Linked DNA regions of Mytilus edulis. Each later gene encodes a partner of the first gene's protein in a complex. Links are inferred from orthologs where the notes say so. Each region holds a gene or a part of one and is shown on either strand. Other genes may lie near its edges.

What was found. The genes of interacting proteins can lie anywhere in the genome.
Region 2: protein virilizer homolog (region 1) and N(6)-adenosine-methyltransferase catalytic subunit METTL3-like share a complex: the UniProt entries of both Drosophila melanogaster proteins name them as parts of the WMM complex. The link is inferred for Mytilus edulis from reciprocal best matches to the Drosophila melanogaster genes vir and Mettl3.

What each region holds. Positions count from the first base shown.
Region 1 is NC_092348.1:85,678,815-85,686,470, reverse strand, and holds the start of protein virilizer homolog, read left to right. Parts: upstream 1-4,553; 5' UTR 4,554-4,610; coding exon 4,611-4,676; intron 4,677-5,846; coding exon 5,847-5,959; intron 5,960-7,489; coding exon 7,490-7,576; intron 7,577-7,656. UniProt on the Drosophila melanogaster protein: Associated component of the WMM complex, a complex that mediates N6-methyladenosine (m6A) methylation of mRNAs, a modification that plays a role in the efficiency of mRNA splicing and is required for sex determination.
Region 2 is NC_092348.1:95,909,461-95,916,764, forward strand, and holds the start of N(6)-adenosine-methyltransferase catalytic subunit METTL3-like, read right to left. Parts: upstream 3,098-7,304; 5' UTR 2,974-3,097; coding exon 2,823-2,973; intron 1,110-2,822; coding exon 839-1,109; intron 99-838; coding exon 26-98; intron 1-25. Other genes in the region: cleavage and polyadenylation specificity factor subunit 5-like, read left to right, coding at 3,223-3,344. UniProt on the Drosophila melanogaster protein: Catalytic component of the WMM complex, a complex that mediates N6-methyladenosine (m6A) methylation of mRNAs, a modification that plays a role in the efficiency of mRNA splicing and is required for sex determination.

The sequences.
Region 1 (7,656 bases):
TACACTACTGGTTTAACATTGTTCAATATAACATTCCAACAAGAATGTGTCCATAGTACACGGATGCCCCACTCCCACTATCATTTTCTATGTTCAGTGGACCGTGAAATTGGGGTCAAAACTTTAATTTGGAATTAAAATTAGAAAGATCATATCATAGGGAACATGTGTACTAAGTTTCAAGTTGATGTAACTTTAACTTCATCAAAAGCTACCTTGACCAAAAACTTTAACCTGAACTTTGTACTATCATTTTCTATGTTCAGTGGACCATGAAATTGGGGTCAAAACTATAATTTGGCATTAAAATTAGAAAGATTCAAGTTGATTGGACTTCAGCTTCATCAAAAACTACCTCGACCAAAAACTTTAACCGGACAGACGAACGGAGACACAGACGGACGGACGGACGAACGGAGGCACAGACCAGAAAACATAATGCCCCTCTACTATCGTAGGTGGGGCATAAAAATAAATAGAAAGACGACATCGTTGTCGCCTACTTTTGAATAGTCGCATTGAGAGGTTGTACGGTAATGTGTTAATAGTGCAACACCCACCCCTCAACAATTACATCTGCCAATGACAAAATAGCACATGTATACGATAAAAATTGTTTCTGAAAAATCCCCGTAGTTAGTTGATAAAGTCTAACGTTTGATTTGATCAGTTTTTAAAGACCTCCCCTTATAATATACTCAAGTACATTGGAGCTCGGTATAAACCTCCCCTTGTAATATACTCAAGTACATTGGAGCTCGGTATTTTATAGACCTCCACTTGTAATATACTCAAGTACATTGGAGCTCGGTATTTAATAGACCTCCCCTTGTAATATACTCAAGTACATTGGAGCTCAGTATTTTATAGACCTCCCCTTGTAATATACTCAAGTACATTGGAGCTCAGTATTTTATAGACCTCCCCTTGTAATAAACTCAAGTACATTGGAGCTCGGTATTTTATAGACCTCCCCTTGTAATATACTCAAGTGCATTGGAGCTCGGTATTTTATAGACCTCCCCTTGTAATATACTCAAGTACATTGGAGCTCGGTATTTTATAGACCTTCCCTTGTAATATACTGAAGTACATTGAAGCTCGGTATTTTATAGACCTCCCCTTGTAATATACTCAAGTACATTGGAGCTCGGTATTTTATAGACCTCCCCTTGTAATATACTCAAGTACATTGGAGCTCAGTATTTTATAGACCTCCCCTTGTAATATACTCAAGTACATTGGAGCTCGGTATTTTATAGACCTCCCCTTGTAATATACTCAAGTACATTGGAGCTAGGTATTTTATAGACTTCCACTTGTAATATACTCAAGTACATTGGAGCTCGGTATTTTATAGACATCCACTTGTAATATACTCAAGTACATTGGAGCTCGGTGTTTTATAGACATCCACTTGTAATATACTCAAGTACATTGGAGCTCGGTATTTTATAGACCTCCCCTTGTAATATACTCAAGTACATTGGAGCTCGGTATTTTATAGACCTCCCCTTGTAATATACTCAAGTACATTGGAGCTCGGTATTTTATAGACCTCCCCTTGTAATATACTCAAGTACATTGAAGCTCAGTATTTTATAGACCTCTCCTTGTAATATACTCAAGTACATTGGAGCTCAGTATTTTATAGACCTCCCCTTGTAATATACTCAAGTACATTGGAGCTCAGTATTTTATAGACCTCCCCTTGTAATATACTCAAGTACATTGGAGCTCGGTATTTTATAGACCTTCCCTTGTAATATACTGAAGTACATTGAAGCTCGGTATTTTATAGACCTCCCCTTGTAATATACTCAAGTACATTGGAGCTCGGTATTTTATAGACCTCCCCTTGTAATATACTCAAGTACATTGGAGCTCAGTATTTTATAGACCTCCCCTTGTAATATACTCAAGTACATTGGAGCTCGGTATTTTATAGACCTCCCCTTGTAATATACTCAAGTACATTGGAGCTAGGTATTTTATAGACTTCCACTTGTAATATACTCAAGTACATTGGAGCTCGGTATTTTATAGACATCCACTTGTAATATACTCAAGTACATTGGAGCTCGGTGTTTTATAGACATCCACTTGTAATATACTCAAGTACATTGGAGCTCGGTATTTTATAGACCTCCCCTTGTAATATACTCAAGTACATTGGAGCTCGGTATTTTATAGACCTCCCCTTGTAATATACTCAAGTACATTGGAGCTCGGTATTTTATAGACCTCCCCTTGTAATATACTCAAGTACATTGAAGCTCAGTATTTTATAGACCTCTCCTTGTAATATACTCAAGTACATTGGAGCTCAGTATTTTATAGACCTCCCCTTGTAATATACTCAAGTACATTGGAGCTCAGTATTTTATAGACCTCCCCTTGTAATATACTCAAGTACATTGGAGCTCGGTATTTTATAGACCTCCCCTTGTAATATACTCAAGTACATTGGAGCTCGGTATTTTATAGACCTCCCCTTGTAATATACTCAAGTACATTGGAGCTCGGTATTTTATAGACTTCCCCTTGTAATATACTCAAGTACATTGGAGCTCGGTATTTTATAGACCTCCCCTTGTAATATACTCAAGTACATTGGAGCTCGGTATTTTATAGACCTCCACTTGTAATATACTCAAGTACATTGGAGCTCGGTATTTTATAGACCTCCACTTGTAATATACTCAAGTACATTGGAGCTCGGTATTTTTGTGATACTATTTTATAGTCTGAATATAAAGATATGAACAATACCTGTACTAAAATAAATATTCGAAGGACGTCGATCTACAAGGCATCATAATTTTCAACTATACAACAACAGACATCATATTTAACTCTACATCACCTGAGTCTTAAAAATGAAATAAAGATTGAAGAGTAGATAGCAAATATAACATCAAACTAAATTCTCTAATGACAAAACATTCAAATATAACAAACAGGAAAGAATATCACGAGTACAAGAACAAATACTATTATATACCGCTAAAAAATATGCTTGCAATTGCGAGAATCAAATACAAATAAATCAATATGTTGTCAGCTATAACTGATGTATCATGTATGATTTCCTGTTCCATTAGAGCTTGTTGTTGGATTCTGTAGATTTTTTTGTTGTTCTTGTCTATAGCTACCAGGTCATTTGTTAAATTGTACAGCACACAAAAATTCCTGTTGCCTTGTGCTTCGCTTGTAAGTTTTTCCATCCTAGTTCTTGTATCATGTTGATGTCACTTGGTCTTTTTCCATGTCTTCTTCTTACACACCGCGCAGTTAGCTCGTCTTTGTACTTTTTCGATTGTTACTTTGGGCTTTTACTGATATGGGTAGCATATTGTCGAAGCATATTCCATTGTTGGTCTTACGTATATCTTATAACCCTGTCTTTTTAGGAATCTTCAGACTATGTAGAGATTTCAGTGTTATCAACCAAGGTTTCTCTTGGCTTGCCTTTTCATATCGTTTATGTGTTTCTCTAATCTAGGTCGTTCGCGGATCATGCGGATGGCGCAGCCCATGCCATGTATTTAATTGATGATTCATGCTCCACTTACAGTATTTATATATTTTTTGCCTCACCCTCAATAAATATCATGTAATTTAAGTTCCAGGAATTTTATAACATACTTTTTTGTTCCATGCATATATATGTGGAACATATATTATGCAGAACAAATATACAATCTCACAGAATACTACCCCACCCCCCTTTTTCTCTGTGTCTTTTCAGTCTACTCTTACGCTGCTGCTTTACTGAGTGTCATATTTAAGTGTTTCAATTATAAGAAGAGGAAAATAACATGTCAATGTAAAGACGTATAAAATAATGACATATGTACGTGCTTGATCTTGATGTTTTTATTTATAGATGAAAATTTAAAACATGAACTGACCGCAATGCACATACTGTTTGATTATGATATGAAAAGTTGTCACATTATGCCAATCATGAATAGTATCTGCTATCATATTGACTCACGACAATCCGCTGACAAATTGGTTATATATTTTTGAAAACTGCAGTAATATATATTAAAATGCAACTGCTTACAATAGTGCTATATATTATAAATGTTTTATTGCTCGCACTATACCTAAATACATATTATATTTTTTGAATTATACAATCTTTCCACCGTCGTGATTCACAGGAATTTTGTCTCTGGAAAAAAACACTTTATACCCAGTGGCTGATCCAGAACTTCTTAGAAGGGGTCCACTGACTTACCGTATAATCACTCATTTTTTTTCTACAAAAGGGGGGGGGGGGGGGATCCGGCCGCGATCCCCCTTAGATCCGCCTATGATATCTTAATATATCATTAAAGGTATACTGTATAGGAAAACATTTTTCAATGAGAGACAGATTTCTGGGAATAATAATGTGGGAGTTTTCGACCACTGTGATTAATCGTTTTTATTATGCATATTTCTTTTGACCTGAGTTATATAAATAACACGGAATGTGGGTTATAATACAAACAATACGACAATTCACCTAACAATATTGAGATAGCAAAGACAATTATTCTCGTTCCGTATTTTCTGTACCAAACCATCTTCGATCCATTTTTTACTATTTCCAAAAAATGGCTGACACCGGGCAGGAACCCGAGTTGTTGTTTTTTGATACGTTTTCTCACGAAAGCGCTGAGGTATATGGTTTATAAAGAGTGTATTTATTCCAGTATCAAACACAAATAACTTTCATTCGTGTATAAATCCATTAAATGCAACATAAAATAGCCGCATTTGACGTGTATTATTATTTTTAAGGTTCATCATAACCTTTTGGCTAATATGGCCGTATTTACACCCCAAATTTTACTCTGGGTACAGACTAACCTATGCACTTGCAACAGTTTTAAGGGATGGCAGGAACTAGGTATATAAATTTTAAATGCATTTTATGTTTTAGAAAATTATAAACTTTTCTAGATTTTGCCTTCCAGTTTTTTTCGTTCCTGCAGAAGGTGCAAAAATTAACTAAGTAGTGAAAACGATTGAGAAGCTCCCCTCATATAATCAATGTTGTGAGTAGTATTGATTTAAATGGACAATGGATGGACAATAGACACCTGTAAACAATAGGTGATTTAAACTGTGTAACTGAGTGGACCGTATCAAATGAAACTCGGGTGTTTGTTTATTTTGCTATCTTCTGCAGACTGAAAAAAACTGGACATGAAAATCCAGGTAAGTTTTTAATTTTCTGAAACGTAGACTTCGTATAACTTTTATATATCTAGTTCCTGCCATGCCTTAAAACTTTCCTGGATGTACCAGTTTGTCTGCACTCATAGTAATTTTTTAGGTGTAAACACGGCCATATTTTTCAATTCCTTATGATGAACCTTAAAATGAAACTGGATCTAAAAAATATTACATTTATTATCTTTTTAGTTGCATCGATGGATTTGTGTCAAAGCATCATTTTAAATTATTTTTAAATATGTACACATTTATTCATGAGCTGTTCATTAGAAACCGCTTTGTCATAGTTTGATCAACATCATGGTTCATCACATATAATATGAATTAATTGATTTAATAATTATCCGATTGGGCACAGACACTTGTTTCTATCCATGGGAAGGGTGATTATCTATATAAATAGAAGAAGGTGGCCTACAATTTTTTTATAGGTCACAACCATTTCCACTTTGGATGCTTTTTGTACCCTTTAACAAATGCAAAAAATCCCTACCTTGCATGAATCAATGCATTGAATATTTTACTTTAACACTAAACAAATTTTATATTCCCCACAGTGTTCCTCTTCACACTGGAGAATTTGTATTCACTTTCTTTTATTCTCTTTATAGGAGTTAAATTTAGACTTGGTACAGTTTCCAAGGCCAGTTATTATTCAGGAAATCAGGGTAATACCCCTGCAAACCAAAGTTGAAGCAGATGTACCAGGAGGTGTTAGGCTAGGGTAAGCTACATGTACATCAAGTAAAAGATAAAGGATCAGAATAATGATCTTGATGATTAGAGACATATGCATGTACACAAACTATTAGTAAAAGGAATAAAATGTACTTCCATGTCTTGAATACAACAATGCAACATACAGTGTGTTCACTGTGTTGACCATTGTCCAGAAGACCTCTGGACCAGCAACGTCTCAGAAGTAACATTGTATCCAAGATCAATGTCACCTTATATTTTGCCTAGAAAAAGACAACTACATGTATTCTTAGATGACAATAATCTAAATTTAATTTAAGTTATATGTACATGTATATATTGTATTTCAATTTTCTCTTCTGCATATAATACTTTTTTGAAGCCCTGAAAGTGTTGAGAAAACAGCATAACCAGCAACATCTCGGAAGTAACATTGTATCCAAGGTTGACGTCATCTTATCTTTTCTTCTTAACTAGTATACACCAAAATGCAAAGCTGTTGTTTTAATATTTATTAGAGTTTAGTTAGATAATAAGAAATCATCCCCACAACCATGTACCTGTAGCAGCACTTATTCATCCCATGCAGTATTCGAAAAGAAAAACAATATTAGTTTAAAGGGAAGAACTTTTTTTACAAAGCCAAATTTTACAAATATTAAAAATACTCTAGATCTGCAGTTCAGTAAACATGGTAAAGTGGTATTAAAAGTTTGAAAACAGAACATAACAATTAAAACATTCATAACCTGTTAAATCTATACATATATTTGTATTCCTTGGGATTGGTTATTGAAACAAGAAATTTCAAATATTTGAAGGGTTTATACTACTATCATGACTAGGCAAAAAAAAATGAAAATGATAACATGGCAATGAAAATACATGTACCTACATTGTAACTATCAGCAGAAAGTTTTCCTTACTATTTCAATTGTGACAGTTGGTCCTCAGAGTGATCATAGTACAAAATTTAGTTCATTTACAGTAATCACTAGCCTGTCCACTTTTAACATGGTGATTCAAATTCCATTCAAAACTACCCTGTTCATATTAAACAAATGATTGACATATATAGTTGTATGGTTCTCTCCAGGTTCACAAGCTTCCTCTACCAATAAGAATCAGTCACCATCATGATATTGCCAATGCTGCTAAAAATGGCGTTAAACACATACAAAAAAAAATTGTGACATGAAATTATTAAGTTATGTACATCTATATATACATATGTATGTACATGTAGATCTAGGAAGGTTTTATTTTTCATTTTGAAACTCCTTGAAATACTGTTCTTAAAGTGATTCTTCTCTACTTTGGATTGATTATTAATTGTTGAATAAAAAAATCAATGACTTAGTGGTATAGGTGAACCTGGGATTTAAATGTTTGACTAATTGCAAATTTTGTTTAGTCTTGGTAAGAAGAGCTTGTTAAAACCATGAAATATGATATCAATGATGAAACAGTTTTTCCTTAAGCCATGAAAATTGATATCCAAAAAAACAATTGAATCCACAGTATTCTTAAGTTTTGTTTTTTTATTTTATTTCAGGGCTACTAACCCATCTATATTCAAGTTAGAACTATTTGTCAACAACCTCAGTAAACCTAATGCAGCTACCTTTGAGAGTCTTGGAGTGTAAGTTAGCTAATACTCTAACTATTTAAAAACATTACTTTACATGACCATATCTATAGCATTTTTACTGTTACATGTAT
Region 2 (7,304 bases), about 10 Mb from region 1:
TCATAATTTATACAATAAGACAGACCTTAGTTATATCCATACTATTGACAGTAATTTTGCCTTGTTCATCTTCTAAACTGTCATCTTTTACTGTTATACTGAAAGAAAAATATTACATCATTAAAATATTTAAATTTCTTTACACCTTACAATGTATCCCTATTCCCTCCTGAACCTAAAATCTGTGCCGCTTGAACTATTGACCTATTCCCTCCTGAACCTAAAATCTGTGCCGCTTGAACTATTGACATGATACAACATTCACTTTTCCATTGTGGCATCAGATATTTTGTATTATGATGCCAACATTTTACAGGAACCTGTGTGATATCCAGTAATGGCAGACAAATAGCGATAAGGTGTATTCATATACCTTAAAATTGGATATTTTATTTGGATAATGGTTTGATTGATTGATCGCTGCTTAACATCCAGAGGTGAAAATTGTCATTATAATACCCTGCGTTGCACTACACTGACAGGTTGCGATAGATTCTTAACAGGCTAGGACATAAGGTTATTATAGTCAACAGGAGAACATGCCATCCTGCACTTACTGCATGAACACACTGTCCTGACTCCATGTCAACTTGTCTTGCTCTGATTACAAAATGTCTACACCTTTCAATCCCTTACGACCATGATGACATATTGAAATGTAGCATTAAAGCATATGGATTTTATTTTCTCCTGGTTTTGGAAATCTACATTTATTAACTGCAGAGATAAAAAAAAAATATTTTGGTGTAGCTGCATTGCTATAGTACTAGTATTGGCATATAACTCATATCTTATACATGTATATTTCTTTCATCATGTTCATATTTATTTCACCTACTTTATCAGCTGTTGTCCTGCAAATTTCTTCAGTAATTCTTCCACAACATCAAGTTTAACGGTCTGTTTGAGTATTTTAGATGAATGTTCTGCTATAACATTAGAACTACAGGGTATGTCTAGATCTATGTCACAGAGAGCCAACATTACTTTCTTCTCTAGAACAGGGTCTATCTTTGTAGGTTCAGCAGCCGGTGTGGACTTTACTGGACTGGAAGATGTAGATGGTATTGCTTTAACAGGGCTTGCTGATTCTGATTGGCTCTTTGTATCTGAAAAATAAAGTTCATGATTTGAGGCAAAATCAATTAAAAGTTCTTGTACAAAATTTTTATTTAAATTCAAATTCAAACCAGATGCTCCGCAGGTTGCAGCTTTATACGACCGCAGAGGTTGAACCCTGAATGGTTGGGGCAAGTATGGACACAACATTCAAGCTGGATTCAGCTCTAAATTTGGATTGTGATTAAATAGTTGACACAGCATAGGTTTCTGACACAGAATGAATGTGGTCTAATGAACTTAAAATATTTTTTTTGCCTTTGAGTTATTCACTATGCTGTTGAATATTAATCCTCTCAAAAAAATGTTTAAAGAAATTTTCTTTTTATTTATGAAATCTGAAATGAGAAAAATTTACCCCCCCCCCCCCCTCCCATTTTTTTTTCACATCCCCCTTTACCATGTTTACCTTTTTCCAAAACTGATCTCAATTCAAACTTCTAATGGAGTTTGCAACAATAACTACTCATTTAAGTACATCATAAAATATTAAAATATAAAATAAAGTGCTTGTTATCACTGAATGGTAAAGATTGTTTTAATTTATCAGTCGGTAGTAAAAGTGAATATGCATTGTATAATGTTTAGATTTAGCATATCAAAAAAGCCCAAGAATTCAATTTTTGTTAAAATCAAACTTAGTTTAATTTTGGACCCTTTGGACTTTAATGTAGACCAATTTGAAAAGTTATGGTGCGAAAACCAAGAACAATGCTTATTTGGGCCCTTTTTTGGCCCCTAATTTCTAAACTGTTGGAACCAAAACTCCCAAAATCAATACCAACCTTCCTTTTGTGGTCATAAACCTTGTGTCAAAATTTCATAGATTTCTATTTACTTAAACTAAAGTTATAGTGCTAAAACAAAGAAAATGCTTATTTGGGCCCTTTTTGGCCCCTAATTCCTAAAATATTGGGACCAAAACTCTCAAAATCAATCCCAATCTTCCTTTTGTGGTCATAAACCTTGTGTTAAAATTTCATAGATTTCTATTCACTTTTACTAAAAATAATGATTGTTGATTTAACTTGCTTTGATGTAAATACTGCATGTATTTATCTTGTTATGAGTGAGTAAAACTTTGAAGATCACGAGAGATAATTGTTTTTAACAGCTTGGCTCCTAAATTTGATCTCTTTTAAAAAAAAATATTCATAGCAATACACTTACGAAATATGATTAAGATTTTATCAACACATAAAAAACATTGTCAGAATTTCACTTTATTTAGAAAAAATGAACAAATCATTTTTATGTAGAGCAATACACTTGCTTTAACGGTATTATAAAGATTTATTCAACACGTCAAAAAAATGTTATCAGAACCTCACTATATGTAGAAACAATGAAAAAAATATTTATAAATAGCAATACACTTCATGCACTTTATTACCCAAACTCGATTCCAAATTGTATAACACAATACCCATAAAAATTGGTCTTGAACGTGTAGGGTGCGAACAGACTTTGAGTGCGAAAGTGTAGGGTGGGAAAGTGAAAGGGCGCCAACGTGAATGGGCGCGAAGGTGATTGCTCGCGAACAGACCCAGATTCATGAGACCTCCAGTAAAATGGTGTAAAAATAGCAATAAGATCAACATTAACGACAATGGAAAAAAAAATATATGGGTCAGCTATTTTGTGTGCTAATTCTCAGTTGCAAAATGGACAATTTCAATGAGAACCAGATAATGGTGTTTCACCTTCACTACTTGTTGTTGGTGAGATGCTAGACTTGGTGATTTCGGCTGCAATTTCCTCTCTTTCTTTTCGTCTCTGGAGCATTTTAGCTCTCAAGCTACTCTGTTTGCTTTTGATAGCTTGGATATCGCTCCATGCATCTGAATCTGACATGGTGGTGTCTTAAATCAGGTTCGTAAATAGGTAAATAGTTCGATCTCGAAATCAATTCTCTTTTTTTTTTAATTTGATCAGTGTCAATTATCTGCAATTCAAACAAACGAAATATTTTCTATTTTAAAGCGCTTAAAAGACCCAGAAGGGCACTTTTCTAAAATAACTGGTTCCCTGTTTGTAATTTTGTTGCTGATTTGCCTCAAATTAATATAAAAAGAACCAGAATAAAGTAGGAAAACATTGACAATGGCGTCACATGGAAGAGCACACGGCGTTCCCCACGGTTGGCCTAAACAATCTAATTCCGCATCCTTCCCAAAATATGGCACTGCAAATCCTCTCATAACTCTCGACAGACCAATCAATTTGTAAGCACTCTAGCCATATAGGTTCATGTGTCTTTTAATTTATCTATCAGAAATTCATGATCTTTCTTTTGTAGACTACTACTACTAGTACTAGTGCAACACTCCAACAGCAAGACAGGATCTGTATGATTCCGGATAAGTGTTCCTGGTTAATTAGTTCTTTTGAAGAATGCGTAAACCACAGACCCAACTTAATCAGGTCATGAACCATACCAGCTAACCCTCACATTGCGAGCGGGAGACTCTAGGGCAAACAACAAAATTACGGAAATCTCCCACTTGCCAGTCCAGTCCCGAACAGGATTAAAATCTCTCGCTTTTGGATATTTTGACCTGGAATAATACGAGTTCAAAATTCTCTGCCTTTTCAATAAAATGTTAAGCTTTTTTTTAAATTTGTTTCCTATTATACTTGCAGTGTTCTCCCCGGTATCAGGTCCGTTCGCGCCCAATATACTTTTGCACCCTACACGTTCGCACCTCGCACGTTCGCACCCAAGGTCCGTTCGCACTCTACACGTTCGCGCCCAATTTTAATTCAAATTCCAGTTGAATAATTTGAAAATCATGATTGTTGTTTTTAATTGCTTTCGTGTAAATACTGAATGTATTTATAGCTTGGTATGAGTAAAAGATTGAAGATTTTAAATGAAAAACACAAAAGATAATTGTTTTGAACAGCTTGGTCCCTTTGATCTGAAATAATGAAACAATACACTATTATATATCACTATACATGATAAAATTTAATCCAACACACACAAAAAAAAAGAAACGTAGTCAGAATCTCACTTCATTTTGAAACAAGTCAATGAAAAAAAGTTATAGCAATACACTAACCAAAACATGATAAACAATTATTCAACAGTTCAGTTCAGTTCAGTTTCTTGTATATTCCTCCATTAAATGTGGAGCACTACCCAAAGGGTATAGTTTGAGCAACTATTTACACCTTAAAACATAGGGAAACAATTAATTAAATTATATACAGATGACTGAATTTCAACACAAAATAAAACGTTGACAGAATCCCACTTTATTTAGAAAGGAATATAATTTTTTTTAACAATACACTAACCAAAACATGATTAAGATTTATTCAACACAAAAAAAATGCTGTCTCACTTTATTTTGAGACCATGAAAACAATTATACTTATAAGAATACTACGTACTTGCCAAAACTTGATTACAAAGTTATTAAACACAAAACCAATTAAAATTGGGCGCGAACATGTAGGGTGCGAACGGACTTTGGGTGCGAACATGTAGGGTGCGAAAATGAAAGGGGGCGAACATGTGTGGGTGCGAACGTGAATGGGCGCAAACGGACCCGGATTCGTTCTCCCCAGGCCGTTTTAGCGTCGCGGTACCGCGACGCTATATTTTTTCACCGTGATGCTATGATAATTCCAGCGACGCTATAATTATTACCGCAACGCTATAATTATTCCCGCCACGCTATAATTATTTTGAAGATGCTATTTTACTTGTCCTCAATTTTGAACTTTCATCTATTATTGATTATGATCATAAAAATTATATCACCTTTAATTGTAATCCCTTTAAGTCGGACACGAAAGGCAATTAAGAGATTAAATAGCTAGGTGTTAATTGCCCTCAGGGTGATAACTGTTTGGATGCGAATATCCCAAGCTGTCACTTGTGACATGATTAATACCACGTCACGTGTCTGCAATCACCAATTTCGACATGGAATAATGCAATCACAACACAATTCGAAATCTACGTTTTATATTACGAAATTTCAAAGATTGAAACGATTTTTATTTTTTTTTAAAAGGTCGTTTATTTGTGCAACTCTCCAAAAATTACTTTCTTTCTCTTCCAGTAATACGAGAGCGAGAATTTTGGTTTAGAGCTAAAATAAGTTTAATATTTCTTTAAAAAGTTATCATAATTGGCTGAAGTTTATGTTTAATCCATTTAATGCATTAAAAGCGTCTTATTCATTCACAATCTCTTGTCAAACAATGTTTATTCTCAGACTCATTTTCGTAAATTTTTCTACGGCCGCCATTGCACATTTTTGTGTAAACTACGGATAGGAACCGGACTAGATATGACAAAAATCCGCATTTTCACGATAATGACAACAGATGGACAGTAGACAGAAAAAATATACCACGAAAGAAAACTACGTATTAACAGACTATTTGTTAGATGACTTTGTTAAAAATACATATCATTTTGATGTAAAGATAAACAACTGGGACTAATTCATTGAGTGCCATGAAACAATGAATTTCATAAACATGATAAAAAAAAGTTTTTAAATTGAGGATTTTTTTGGCTACTTTATCTTTACTTAAAATAATATAAAAAATTGTTAATTTTGTGTACTAAATATTTAGTTTTGTATATATATACCGGTTGCACTATAATGAACCATTCATTCATTTGACTTATTATTGGGTAACTGAAACCACATATTTATTTTTATTTGGCACAAAAGGAAAAAAATAATTCTGATTACTATAAATGAATAAAGAAAACATAAACTGAAACAACTGTTTTTGTGGTTACAGTTTAATTGTATTCTCAGTTATGAATTGAACAATATAAACTAAAACATATAAAGGAAATAGAGCATCAACACGACGCGACAAATGACATTAAAAAAAATACTGTTATTTTTTTTAACGTAAAAATTTCTGGGGAGAACACTGACTTGTACTTTTCATTAACAGTGTTCTCCCCAGAAATTTTGGATAGCATCACATTTTGCGTAAAAAAAAATAAGTGTATTTTTTTTAATATTGTTTGTGATTGCATATTTCCATGTCGATATTGGTGATTGCAGACACGTGGTATTTAGTCATGTCACAAGTGTCAGCTTGGGATATTCGCATCCAAACACTTTTACAGTTATCACCCTGAGGGCAATTAACACCTAGCTATTTAATCTCTTAATTGCCTTTAGTGTCCGACTTAAAGGGATTACAATTAAAGGTGATATAATTTTTATGATCATAATCGATAATAGATGAAAGTTCAAAATTGAGGACAAGTAAAATAGCATCTTCAAAATAATTATAGCGTCGGCTACGCCTCATGGTGTACTGGGGTACTTCAGGGTGTTAAAATACCCATATCTATGGATATGAACGATACGCCTCATGGTGTACTGGGGTACTTCAGGGTGTTAAAATACCCATATCTACGGATATGAACGTAGATAACTTATAATAACACCATATAAAATATAGTTTTTCGATCATATCTATTGGTTAATATTCAGCTTTGGAGTTCTTAAGAAAATGTGGTTTTGATAAGGGATGTCAACTCTGTAAAAATTTACTAATCAAGTATAACATACAAGTTGGATTTATTGAGCGATACTCAAGTACTCGCTCGGTTACACACTTACCAAATGGAAACACAAAATTATACCCAATAAAAATGTTTTCTGTTTAAACTTAAGAAAACAATAACATTCTAACAGGAAACCAAATAGTTGAGCAATACTTGAGTACTTGTTGACATCCCTAGTTTTGATGATATGAATTAATAGACCACTCTTCAGTTATGTCCTTCAATGGAAAAGTTTGTCAGTTATGCTTTTAGCTTCTTTATGACATCATTAATCAGATGGAGTGGATCCCTTGTATCTATCAAGCTTCTTCATGATTATAATTTATTATGCAGCACAAACTAGAAATTAAACCAAAGTATATAAGGGAATGCAACTAAGTAGAAGGATGTCTATTGCAGTAGAATGTATTAGAATGTGAATTACACAGAAATCGACCTTATGCAAGTGAATATCAATACTTTTTTTTATCCTATTTCTGATGGAAAAAATCTATATCAAAAGTCGGTAACTGTTTGAAACTTTGAGTTGTTTTAAGAACACTATAAAACAGACTAAAATTCATCTTTTATTTTATATTCGAACATGTTGAATGTTTTTAAAACCAATCACAGTTGTGTACATGTA